Linked DNA regions of Saccharomyces cerevisiae S288C. The gene in region 1 interacts genetically with each later gene. Each region holds a gene or a part of one and is shown in the gene's direction. Other genes may lie near its edges.

Region 1 (3,600 bases):
CCTTTTGATTTCTTTTTTTATTCTCAAGTTTTTAATTTCTGGAGAATCTCTTTTTTTGTTTATTTTGTTAACACAGTTAGTGGAGCCTTGTAGTATCGAGAGTAGACTATCTTTGGAAAGCAATGCGAGTTGAGAGATTGTGGAGTGTACTACAGAACCAATATTAAACACAATCTTTCCTCAAACTGTAACACCGAGTTTTTTTCCCCACCAATCGTGAATCCGATAGCATATACTTTTGTCTAGAAATTTCAATAAACAACAGAATAACGAAGAGTGCTAAGGGACAAATGCAAAACCCTCCGTTGATTCGTCCCGATATGTATAATCAGGGAAGCAGCTCAATGGCTACTTATAATGCCTCTGAGAAGAATCTAAATGAGCATCCTTCTCCGCAAATTGCACAGCCCAGCACGTCCCAAAAGTTACCTTATAGAATAAATCCTACAACCACTAATGGGGACACCGACATATCTGTTAACAGCAATCCTATCCAGCCTCCTTTGCCAAACTTGATGCATCTATCTGGTCCGTCTGACTATAGATCGATGCATCAAAGTCCTATACATCCATCTTATATCATCCCTCCGCATTCAAATGAAAGAAAACAATCAGCTTCTTACAACAGACCTCAAAATGCTCATGTTAGTATTCAACCTTCCGTGGTATTCCCCCCTAAAAGTTATTCCATATCTTATGCACCTTATCAAATAAATCCCCCTTTACCAAATGGACTTCCGAACCAGAGCATATCTTTGAATAAGGAGTATATTGCAGAGGAGCAACTATCAACCCTCCCATCTCGCAATACCAGTGTTACTACTGCACCTCCTTCTTTTCAAAACAGTGCTGATACCGCTAAAAATTCAGCTGATAATAATGATAATAATGATAATGTAACCAAACCTGTTCCTGATAAAGACACCCAACTCATAAGTAGTTCAGGCAAAACTTTAAGAAATACTAGAAGAGCTGCTCAAAATAGAACCGCTCAAAAGGCATTTAGACAAAGGAAAGAAAAATACATCAAGAATCTCGAACAAAAATCAAAGATATTTGACGATTTACTAGCAGAAAATAATAACTTCAAATCATTAAACGATTCATTAAGAAATGACAACAACATTTTAATAGCTCAGCATGAAGCTATAAGGAATGCAATTACTATGTTAAGAAGTGAGTATGATGTCTTATGTAACGAAAACAACATGTTGAAGAATGAGAATAGTATAATAAAAAATGAACACAACATGTCAAGAAATGAAAATGAAAACCTAAAACTTGAGAATAAACGCTTCCACGCTGAATATATACGAATGATCGAGGATATTGAAAATACTAAAAGAAAGGAACAAGAACAACGAGATGAAATAGAGCAACTAAAAAAAAAAATAAGATCCCTGGAGGAAATAGTAGGGAGACACTCGGATAGTGCCACGTAATACAATAAATAGGGAGCAGATATTGATCTCTAGTACTGGAAGATCAACTTTTTGCTTTGGCCTTATAGGTCATATAAATTTTAATAATTAATGTAACAGACAAATCAAGGTGTGATTCTGTTCTGATAAAATTTGTTATTTTCCAGAATGTTCTAGAAGTGTTCTTTCATCTAATGGCATCGCGTTTGAATAGGGGGTGCACGGACTTTTTTTTTTGAATAAACCCCTGTGATTCATTGTATCTAAGCTCATCAAACCCCCTAGTTACTGACTCACGCACACACATATATATACATATATATGCATATGTAAGCATGAAAAGTTTGACTTCTATTATCTATTCCAGGAACCCTGAAACAAGCGAGTGAAAATCTTTCAAGGTTAAATATGTTAAGACAAGCTACAAAAGCACCAATACAAAAATATTTACAGAGAACGCAACTATTAAGGCGAAGTACTCCACGAATATACACTATTGTACAGTGTAAAAGATCTATTTGCAGTTTTAATGCAAGACCTCGAGTAGCCAATAAACTTCTATCAGATATAAAAACAAATGCATTAAATGAAGTCGCTATTTCAACCTGCGCCCTCAAGAGCTCATATGGATTGCCCAATTTCAAAAGAACGTACGTCCAAATGAGGATGGATCCCAATCAGCAACCGGAAAAGCCAGCTTTAGAACAATTTGGTACAAACTTGACAAAATTAGCGCGCGACGGTAAATTAGACCCTGTCATTGGCAGAGACGAAGAAATCGCAAGAGCTATTCAAATTTTATCAAGAAGAACAAAAAATAATCCATGTTTGATCGGTCGAGCTGGTGTCGGTAAAACCGCCCTTATTGATGGGTTAGCTCAAAGAATTGTTGCTGGGGAGGTCCCTGACTCGTTGAAAGATAAAGATCTAGTAGCTTTGGATTTGGGATCTTTGATTGCTGGCGCCAAATATAGAGGTGAATTCGAAGAACGTTTAAAAAAGGTTTTAGAAGAAATTGACAAGGCCAATGGTAAGGTTATTGTTTTCATTGATGAAGTTCATATGCTGCTTGGCTTAGGTAAAACTGATGGTAGTATGGATGCTTCTAACATCTTAAAGCCAAAACTGGCCCGTGGGCTACGTTGTATCTCTGCAACCACTCTTGATGAATTCAAAATCATTGAAAAAGATCCGGCTTTATCGAGAAGGTTTCAGCCTATCTTATTGAATGAGCCGAGCGTCTCCGATACGATTTCTATACTAAGAGGTTTAAAAGAAAGGTACGAGGTTCATCATGGTGTAAGGATCACTGATACAGCTTTAGTGTCTGCTGCAGTTCTTTCAAATCGTTATATAACAGACAGGTTTCTACCTGATAAAGCCATTGATCTAGTTGACGAAGCTTGTGCTGTACTACGTTTACAACATGAATCCAAACCGGATGAAATACAGAAACTGGATCGTGCTATTATGAAAATACAAATAGAACTGGAATCTTTAAAGAAAGAGACCGACCCTGTTTCCGTGGAAAGAAGAGAAGCGTTGGAAAAGGACCTAGAAATGAAAAATGATGAATTAAACAGATTAACAAAAATATGGGACGCTGAAAGAGCTGAAATTGAATCTATCAAAAATGCTAAGGCAAATTTGGAACAAGCAAGAATTGAGTTGGAAAAGTGTCAGAGAGAGGGTGATTACACTAAAGCATCCGAGTTGCGATATTCCAGAATTCCTGACTTGGAGAAGAAGGTAGCTTTAAGCGAGAAGAGTAAGGACGGAGATAAAGTAAATTTACTTCATGATTCAGTTACTTCTGACGATATTTCTAAGGTTGTTGCCAAAATGACTGGTATTCCTACAGAAACGGTGATGAAAGGCGACAAGGACCGCCTACTGTATATGGAAAATTCTTTAAAAGAAAGAGTCGTTGGCCAAGACGAGGCCATTGCTGCTATTTCTGATGCTGTACGTCTTCAAAGGGCTGGTTTGACCAGTGAAAAGAGACCTATTGCCAGCTTTATGTTCTTAGGTCCTACTGGTACTGGTAAAACAGAATTGACCAAGGCTTTAGCTGAATTCCTATTTGATGACGAATCAAATGTGATTCGTTTTGACATGTCAGAATTTCAAGAGAAGCATACTGTCTCTCGTTTAATCGGTGCACCTCCAGGTTACGTCT
Region 2 (3,840 bases), on another chromosome or scaffold:
TTGTTTTCCTGCAATTATAACTAACCGTGCTTACTACCAAAAAAAAAGTGCGTATAAATATTCACTATTTACAATGTTGAAGGTTCCAGATGGATACAGAATAGGAATCCTAAATATAAACACTATATTTATTTATTTTTTTCGAATAAAAGTCATGTTAGCAATATTTATATAGTTGATTTTCCTGCATTTATTATATAATTGGCGGCATAGTAACATCAAAAAAAAAAAAAAAAACATTCAAATTGCACTACTTATAGCAGTAGCATCTATAAAAGTTTTATGATATAAACCTTTACAGTTATCTCAAATGGTTTTGGGATTGTCCATCAAATCAAGCGTGATTCATCTATACGTTATTATTCTCCTACAACCCCCTTAGTTTGGAGAGCGCTTAGAGAAATAAAGCATCGATGTTTTCTTACCTTCACTAAAATCAAAATAAAAAAGCTTTTCTATAGTTCACGAATTACGCAATTTATTCTATCATCCTTAAAGTTGATCAATTGCGATTTTAACACACATTTTCAAATGTCATTTTGCGCTTGTATAATAGGTGCCATCTGGACACTTTATAAAAAATAAAGGAAAAGTAAAATATAATGCTGAAAATATAGTTGCCTTAAAATGCCATTGATATGATTTTTTTTTAACCTTAAATCTATTGGCCTATAATATTCGCGGCAAAATGAGCATTTGAAAATCAGTAATAGAATGCTATCAAACTTCGTTCATGACCTTTTTAGCATCATAAGTGTTGAATCGAATCTATCAGTTCAGTAATTAAAAATACTATTTTTCTGTCAGCACAGAACGTAACGACTTTTCCTTATATCCACTATTGATTTCTCTTTAAAGTGCTATGTAAAGTACCTAAAAAACTTGTTATAGAAGTCTCATTCGAAAGCATGTGGGCTCAAAAATTGTGAATAAGATACATAGAAGGAGCCGCTGATCGACACATAATAGTAGAGTTGAACCTAGTTGGTTCAACCATTATCATAGTTATACGAATAAAGCCACAATATAAATGGCCAACCGCTGTTGTCAAACAAGACTATAGGTTCATTTTAACCTGGCGTGCAGTACGCTGGTCTTGCTAACGCCTCTACAATACGTACAGTGCAGGTTTTGACGAATGAAAGTGGTTAGAAGATTAATGTGATAGAAACAAGAATTTTCTCGCAAAGATCTGTATGAAAGGAAACGTTTGGTAAGAACTCTGCGATCCAAATTCTACTGAATGAATAGAAGGCTTCTACAGAACAAGTTGTATCGAAATGATTGTTGGCGACTACTATATTTCTATAGGCATGAAAGTTACTCATAAACAGGAAAGACGCATTTTAGTAGCTTGACCTGGTCAGATTAATCAGCTTCCAACGTTACTTCCCTTTCGCAAGAATCTACCCAAAATGTCTCGAGCATCTTGATAATTACAGTATCGTTCGTCCCGACTTGGCATTTGTTTAAATTTCTAAGATGCTTCCTATAGGAACATAATTGTCAAGAAAGCACAACAAATTGTCTGCAATGTCAACAGGAGTGGCGCATTTTATGTTTTTTCATTTTTTTTTTTTTGTGCGTGATCATTAAGCGGGATATTGTCCACAGTCATCTAAAAGAATGACCATTTCGACGACTTAGTTCGGAAAATATTTCCAGCGGATGACACCACTTGCCACAGTTGGTGACCGCCAAATCTAAGTCACGCGCGGAAACTGAAAGGTTGTGAGTATATAAGTGATCACTCGCTTATATAACTGACGAGGCAGAACAGGGTGCCAAAATGCTCCTCAATATTTTATTCATTTGAGATTCAAGGCTTAAAGACAGCATATATAAGAATTATGACGGCCGCACATCCTGTTGCTCAGTTAACTGCCGAGGCATACCCTAAAGTCAAGAGAAACCCAAATTTCAAAGTTCTCGACTCGGAAGATTTGGCGTACTTTCGTTCGATTTTGTCAAATGATGAAATCTTAAACTCTCAAGCTCCAGAAGAGCTTGCTTCGTTTAACCAGGACTGGATGAAAAAATATAGAGGCCAGTCCAATTTAATTCTCTTGCCAAACTCCACTGATAAAGTGTCCAAGATTATGAAATACTGTAACGATAAAAAGTTGGCAGTAGTACCACAAGGTGGTAACACCGACTTGGTCGGAGCCTCTGTTCCGGTATTTGATGAGATTGTTCTTTCTCTAAGAAATATGAACAAAGTCAGAGATTTTGATCCAGTTAGCGGGACTTTCAAGTGTGACGCGGGTGTCGTTATGCGTGATGCGCATCAATTTTTACACGACCATGACCATATCTTCCCATTGGATCTGCCTTCTAGAAACAACTGTCAAGTGGGCGGTGTAGTTTCAACAAATGCAGGTGGTTTGAACTTTTTAAGATATGGGTCTCTACACGGTAATGTTTTGGGTTTGGAAGTGGTGCTACCCAACGGTGAGATTATCAGCAATATCAATGCCCTAAGGAAGGACAATACTGGTTATGACTTGAAACAATTATTCATCGGTGCAGAGGGTACTATCGGTGTCGTTACTGGTGTATCCATAGTTGCAGCAGCAAAGCCAAAAGCCTTGAATGCCGTATTTTTTGGTATTGAGAATTTCGATACCGTTCAGAAATTATTTGTCAAGGCTAAAAGTGAATTATCTGAGATTTTATCTGCTTTTGAATTCATGGACCGTGGCTCCATTGAATGTACGATAGAATACTTGAAGGACTTGCCTTTCCCTCTGGAGAACCAACACAACTTTTATGTTCTTATTGAAACGTCAGGGTCCAATAAGAGACACGACGATGAGAAGCTGACTGCTTTCCTCAAAGATACCACAGATTCTAAATTAATTTCGGAGGGTATGATGGCTAAGGACAAAGCCGATTTTGATAGACTTTGGACCTGGAGAAAATCTGTTCCAACAGCTTGTAATTCTTACGGTGGTATGTACAAGTATGACATGTCACTTCAATTGAAAGATTTATATTCCGTATCTGCGGCTGTGACGGAGAGATTAAACGCAGCCGGTTTGATTGGTGATGCACCAAAACCAGTTGTTAAATCATGTGGTTATGGTCATGTCGGTGACGGAAACATCCATTTAAATATCGCGGTAAGAGAATTTACAAAACAGATTGAGGACTTACTAGAACCATTTGTTTATGAATATATTGCATCAAAGAAAGGTTCCATCAGTGCTGAGCATGGGATCGGTTTCCATAAGAAAGGTAAGTTACACTACACCAGAAGTGATATTGAAATTAGATTTATGAAGGATATCAAAAATCACTACGATCCAAATGGAATCTTAAACCCATACAAGTACATTTGAACTTTGTTAATTTTTAACTTTCAAAGAGCAAACCCTTTTTCTTTACAGTATTATAGATTTACATATATGTATTTATCAATTTATTATTGATCAAAATTAATATACCATAAAATATTTATCTTAAGCCGTTGTTCTTGAACGATTTTCGGTGAAGAAACCTAAGAGACCATTTTTTGTGGAAAAAGGTCTCGTTTTCTATAGATCTGCGACCAGGAATCTCCTGATTGCGTACTTCAAAAAGTGTTCGTCCATTTTTTCTTTACTACATTAGATAATTATACATAATCCAATTGGAGTAGTGACATGAGTATTGGTATAACCTTAATCCAACAATTTTAAACACGTACTAAAGTGATCTGGACTCATTAAAACTCAAATCTCGTCCAGTTTTTTCTTCATTTGTGATCAACATCCAGGGAGACACGGAGATTATAGTAGTAGTTAATAACACTTCGCAATTACTTATTCAAGTATGTTATTAAATAGTGAAGAGGAATGA
Region 3 (3,534 bases), on another chromosome or scaffold:
ACGGTTTTTTTCGATCAGTCAAATTCCTGCATGGGCAAGCTTAAAAGGTTTTTAAGATTAGCTCGACCAATGCTAGATCAAATTTATGATAGAAGCGCATTTCCAGACTTAGCCGAAAATTGTAAAAAACTAAGAAACTTTGTAGAGACTGAATTCCACCCAATATCATATTACACTGACAGTGAGTTAATATCTAAAGTTCCTTTGTGCGAGATTAAAGTGCTTGCGCAGGTTTTGAATTTGTTGTTGACGTTTTATTCCTTGAGGTATTTGATTTACAAGGAAAAAAGCGTTGTTTTAGAGAACAACATCCTGCAAACCATTTTGGTCTCTTTTTCCCTTGTCATCAATACGACCATACTGTGTTTTAACCTAGATGAGAAGCATTTTCCTGAGTTTTTTGATCATAATTGCGTTCATTTACCGCCATTTATGGCCTTGTCTTTAGTATACACAAATTTCCTTTTTCCTAGGGCCTCTACTGGCTTTTGTGCGTTTTTGTATCATAAGTTAACTCTTTTTGAGAAGGGCTATTATCTATCATCCAACATCAAAGATCAAGAAGTCACAGATTGGGATTTGTCAACCTTGAATATCCCGTTGGATAAAGCTATGAACTTACTTACTGCTTTCAAAATACATTCAGATATATTTGCTAAATGGTCTAATGATAACAACAAGCAGTTAAGAATTATTATGGCTCGCTCTTATACATTTGTTATCAACATCGCCCTGGAAAGCATATATAGAGCTGTTTTGGAAAAAGTAATCAAATATAGAACCGAGGTCGAAAACACATGGTTACAACAACTCCAAGACGAATTGAATGGGTCCTATTCGCTCACTGACAATGTAAATACTCCAATCGATCCCAGTTTAAGTGACCTGGGCGTCACAAGCGCCAGTCCATTGGCGGGAAATTCTCCAGGATTACCCCCGGAGGAAGTGCGAAATAACAGCGAAAACGCTTCGCATAACAATGAAACTGGGCCAATTGAGACTGAACTGGCACAGACAATATCCAACGAATTTTGGACGGCGTACAACCTTGGCTGGGAGGAACTAATGAGTCAGCCAGATTATAAATATTTATTTGATACGCAGTAGAGGAGAAGTTCTTTTACAAAAAAACATGCTTGCGACAGCAGCTAGATAGAAAACTTGCATATTGTAATGGAAGACAGTCGAGAGCAAGCCATTGGCTTGGACTTGCGCTTGGACCTATCTTTCGGACCAACTATTTAATGATTAGTAAGACAAAAATGACATTTAAGCATCTATAAAATAAGAAAAATAAAAAAATGAAGGGAAAAAGCTAAACACTAACTTCTTGACCAAACAAACAAGGAAAAGCCAGTAATTGCGTGAACAAAAGGCACCTGCAATTGTTCTGATGGATGTACTTTGTCCAACCTATTCTGCAAGAAAAAGAAATCAACTCCAAAGAAGTATGGAGCTTACTGGCACTCTAGCCTCCAAAAGCTGTTAAAGTGTTCATTCGATTGTCAAAAATCTTCCCCATAATAATCACCCACCTCAACAAAATACTTCCACTTAATTATTGATCGATTAGAGCTAGCGTCAGTGATTATATGCTAGTCCGAAAGGACAGCCCCATGACAGCGGCCGCGCAGACGCCTAGGGGGGAAATAAGGGGTGACAATACCAATGAGTATAAAGGCAGAAAGAAGAGAAACAGAAGCACGGGGGTTTCGTTTGGTCTTCAAATATATGTTAGGTCGGTACCTTTTCATTGCAAAATTGAAAAGATTTGAGCGTGTAAAAGTAAAAAAATACATGATGGGTTCCCAAGATTTAGCTAGTTTAATTGGGAGGTTTAAATACGTCAGGGTGTTAGATTCGAACCCTCATACAAAGGTAATCTCACTACTAGGCAGCATAGATGGGAAGGATGCCGTGTTAACTGCTGAAAAGACGCATTTCATATTTGATGAAACGGTACGTAGACCCTCTCAAAGTGGCCGTAGCACTCCGATTTTCTTTCATCGTGAAATAGACGAGTACTCCTTTTTAAACGGTATTACTGATCTGAAGGAATTAACTTCGAATGACATCTACTACTGGGGGTTGTCTGTTTTGAAGCAGCATATTTTGCATAACCCAACTGCGAAGGTTAACTTAATTTGGCCCGCCTCGCAGTTCCACATCAAGGGATACGACCAGCAGGATTTACATGTCGTCAGAGAAACTCCTGATATGTATAGAAACATAGTTGTGCCCTTTATCCAAGAGATGTGTACCAGCGAAAGAATGAAATGGGTAAACAACATTCTTTACGAGGGCGCCGAGGATGATAGAGTTGTTTATAAGGAATACAGTAGCAGGAATAAAGAGGATGGATTCGTCATCTTGCCCGATATGAAGTGGGACGGAATCAACATTGATTCGTTATACCTGGTCGCGATCGTGTACAGGGACGACATCAAATCTTTGAGAGATTTGAACCCAAACCATAGAGATTGGTTAATTAGACTCAATAAGAAGATTAAGACCATCATCCCCCAGCACTATGACTATAATGTAAACCCGGACGAGCTAAGAGTTTTCATTCATTATCAACCTTCATATTACCATTTTCATGTCCATATAGTGAATATAAGGCATCCAGGAGTAGGCGAGGAGAGAGGCTCCGGAATGACAATACTGTTGGAAGATGTTATAGAAGCGTTGGGTTTCTTAGGTCCTGAAGGTTATATGAAGAAGACGCTTACTTATGTCATTGGTGAAAATCATGATTTATGGAAAAAGGGCTTTAAGGAAGAAGTTGAAAAGCAACTGAAGCATGATGGTATCGCAACCAGTCCTGAAAAAGGCTCTGGGTTCAATACCAATTTGGGTTGAAGGTAGAAGAGCAGCACTATTTTTTCATGTGCTGAACTTCAGGAAGCGCCGGCTTATATAAATGTCTTATTTAAATGTTTGTGTATACATCTCAATGGATTTTGAATTTTAACATAGAATGCGAATGCACAGTAACATAGTACATTCAGTTGCTATTTTCCGTATAAGCTTTCTTTCCCTTATAGCATACATAGCCTTTGACGTATTGCCAGCCTTTTCAAAGAAATGCGAAAAAATAGTGCATTACCACCTACGTAAGGTAGGCTGGAGAAAAAGATAAACTTTTGCATTCTCTGCTCACCATACCGCGAAGGAAAGTAGTTATAACGTGTCCCGTTTTCAACAAGGTTTTCTGGTATATTGTTAACGGTGGAGAAAGCATCTAGTATCAATTACTTCCAGAGTACACACAACGAATGTTATGTCTGTCCAAGATACTAAAGCGGTAGAGTTTTCTATGGGTCACATCAGATCATCCTCTGTATCCCTGGTAGCAGAGGCTACTTCAAACACGAATAGTGAAGACAAATTATCTAAGGTCCAACTCTACGAAGATTTGTGCCGGTACGAGGATACATTGAGTAAGTTGGTGGAATCTGTAGATCGTTTCAAACCAAACCTTGATATTGCCAAGGATTTGATCAGAACTGATGAGGCCTTGTTTGAAAACGT

What was found.
Region 2: mutations in HSP78 (region 1) and DLD3 impair growth when combined (synthetic growth defect), as found in Saccharomyces cerevisiae (one study listed by BioGRID).
Region 3: mutations in HSP78 (region 1) and DCS2 together harm fitness more than expected from each alone (negative genetic interaction), as found in Saccharomyces cerevisiae (2 studies listed by BioGRID).

What each region holds. Positions count from the first base shown.
Region 1 is NC_001136.10:972,473-976,072, reverse strand, and holds the start of HSP78 (chaperone ATPase HSP78), read left to right. Parts: upstream 1-1,829; coding exon 1,830-3,600. Other genes in the region: YAP6 (Yap6p), read left to right, coding at 291-1,442. UniProt on the Saccharomyces cerevisiae protein: Required, in concert with mitochondrial Hsp70 (SSC1), for the dissociation, resolubilization and refolding of aggregates of damaged proteins in the mitochondrial matrix after heat stress.
Region 2 is NC_001137.3:14,505-18,344, forward strand, and holds DLD3 (D-lactate dehydrogenase), read left to right. Parts: upstream 1-1,850; coding exon 1,851-3,341; downstream 3,342-3,840. UniProt on the Saccharomyces cerevisiae protein: Catalyzes the reversible oxidation of (R)-2-hydroxyglutarate to 2-oxoglutarate coupled to reduction of pyruvate to (R)-lactate. Can also use oxaloacetate as electron acceptor instead of pyruvate producing (R)-malate.
Region 3 is NC_001147.6:655,464-658,997, forward strand, and holds DCS2 (5'-(N(7)-methyl 5'-triphosphoguanosine)-(mRNA) diphosphatase), read left to right. Parts: upstream 1-1,800; coding exon 1,801-2,862; downstream 2,863-3,534. Other genes in the region: YRM1 (Yrm1p), read left to right, coding at 1-1,107; MED4 (Med4p), read left to right, coding at 3,284-3,534.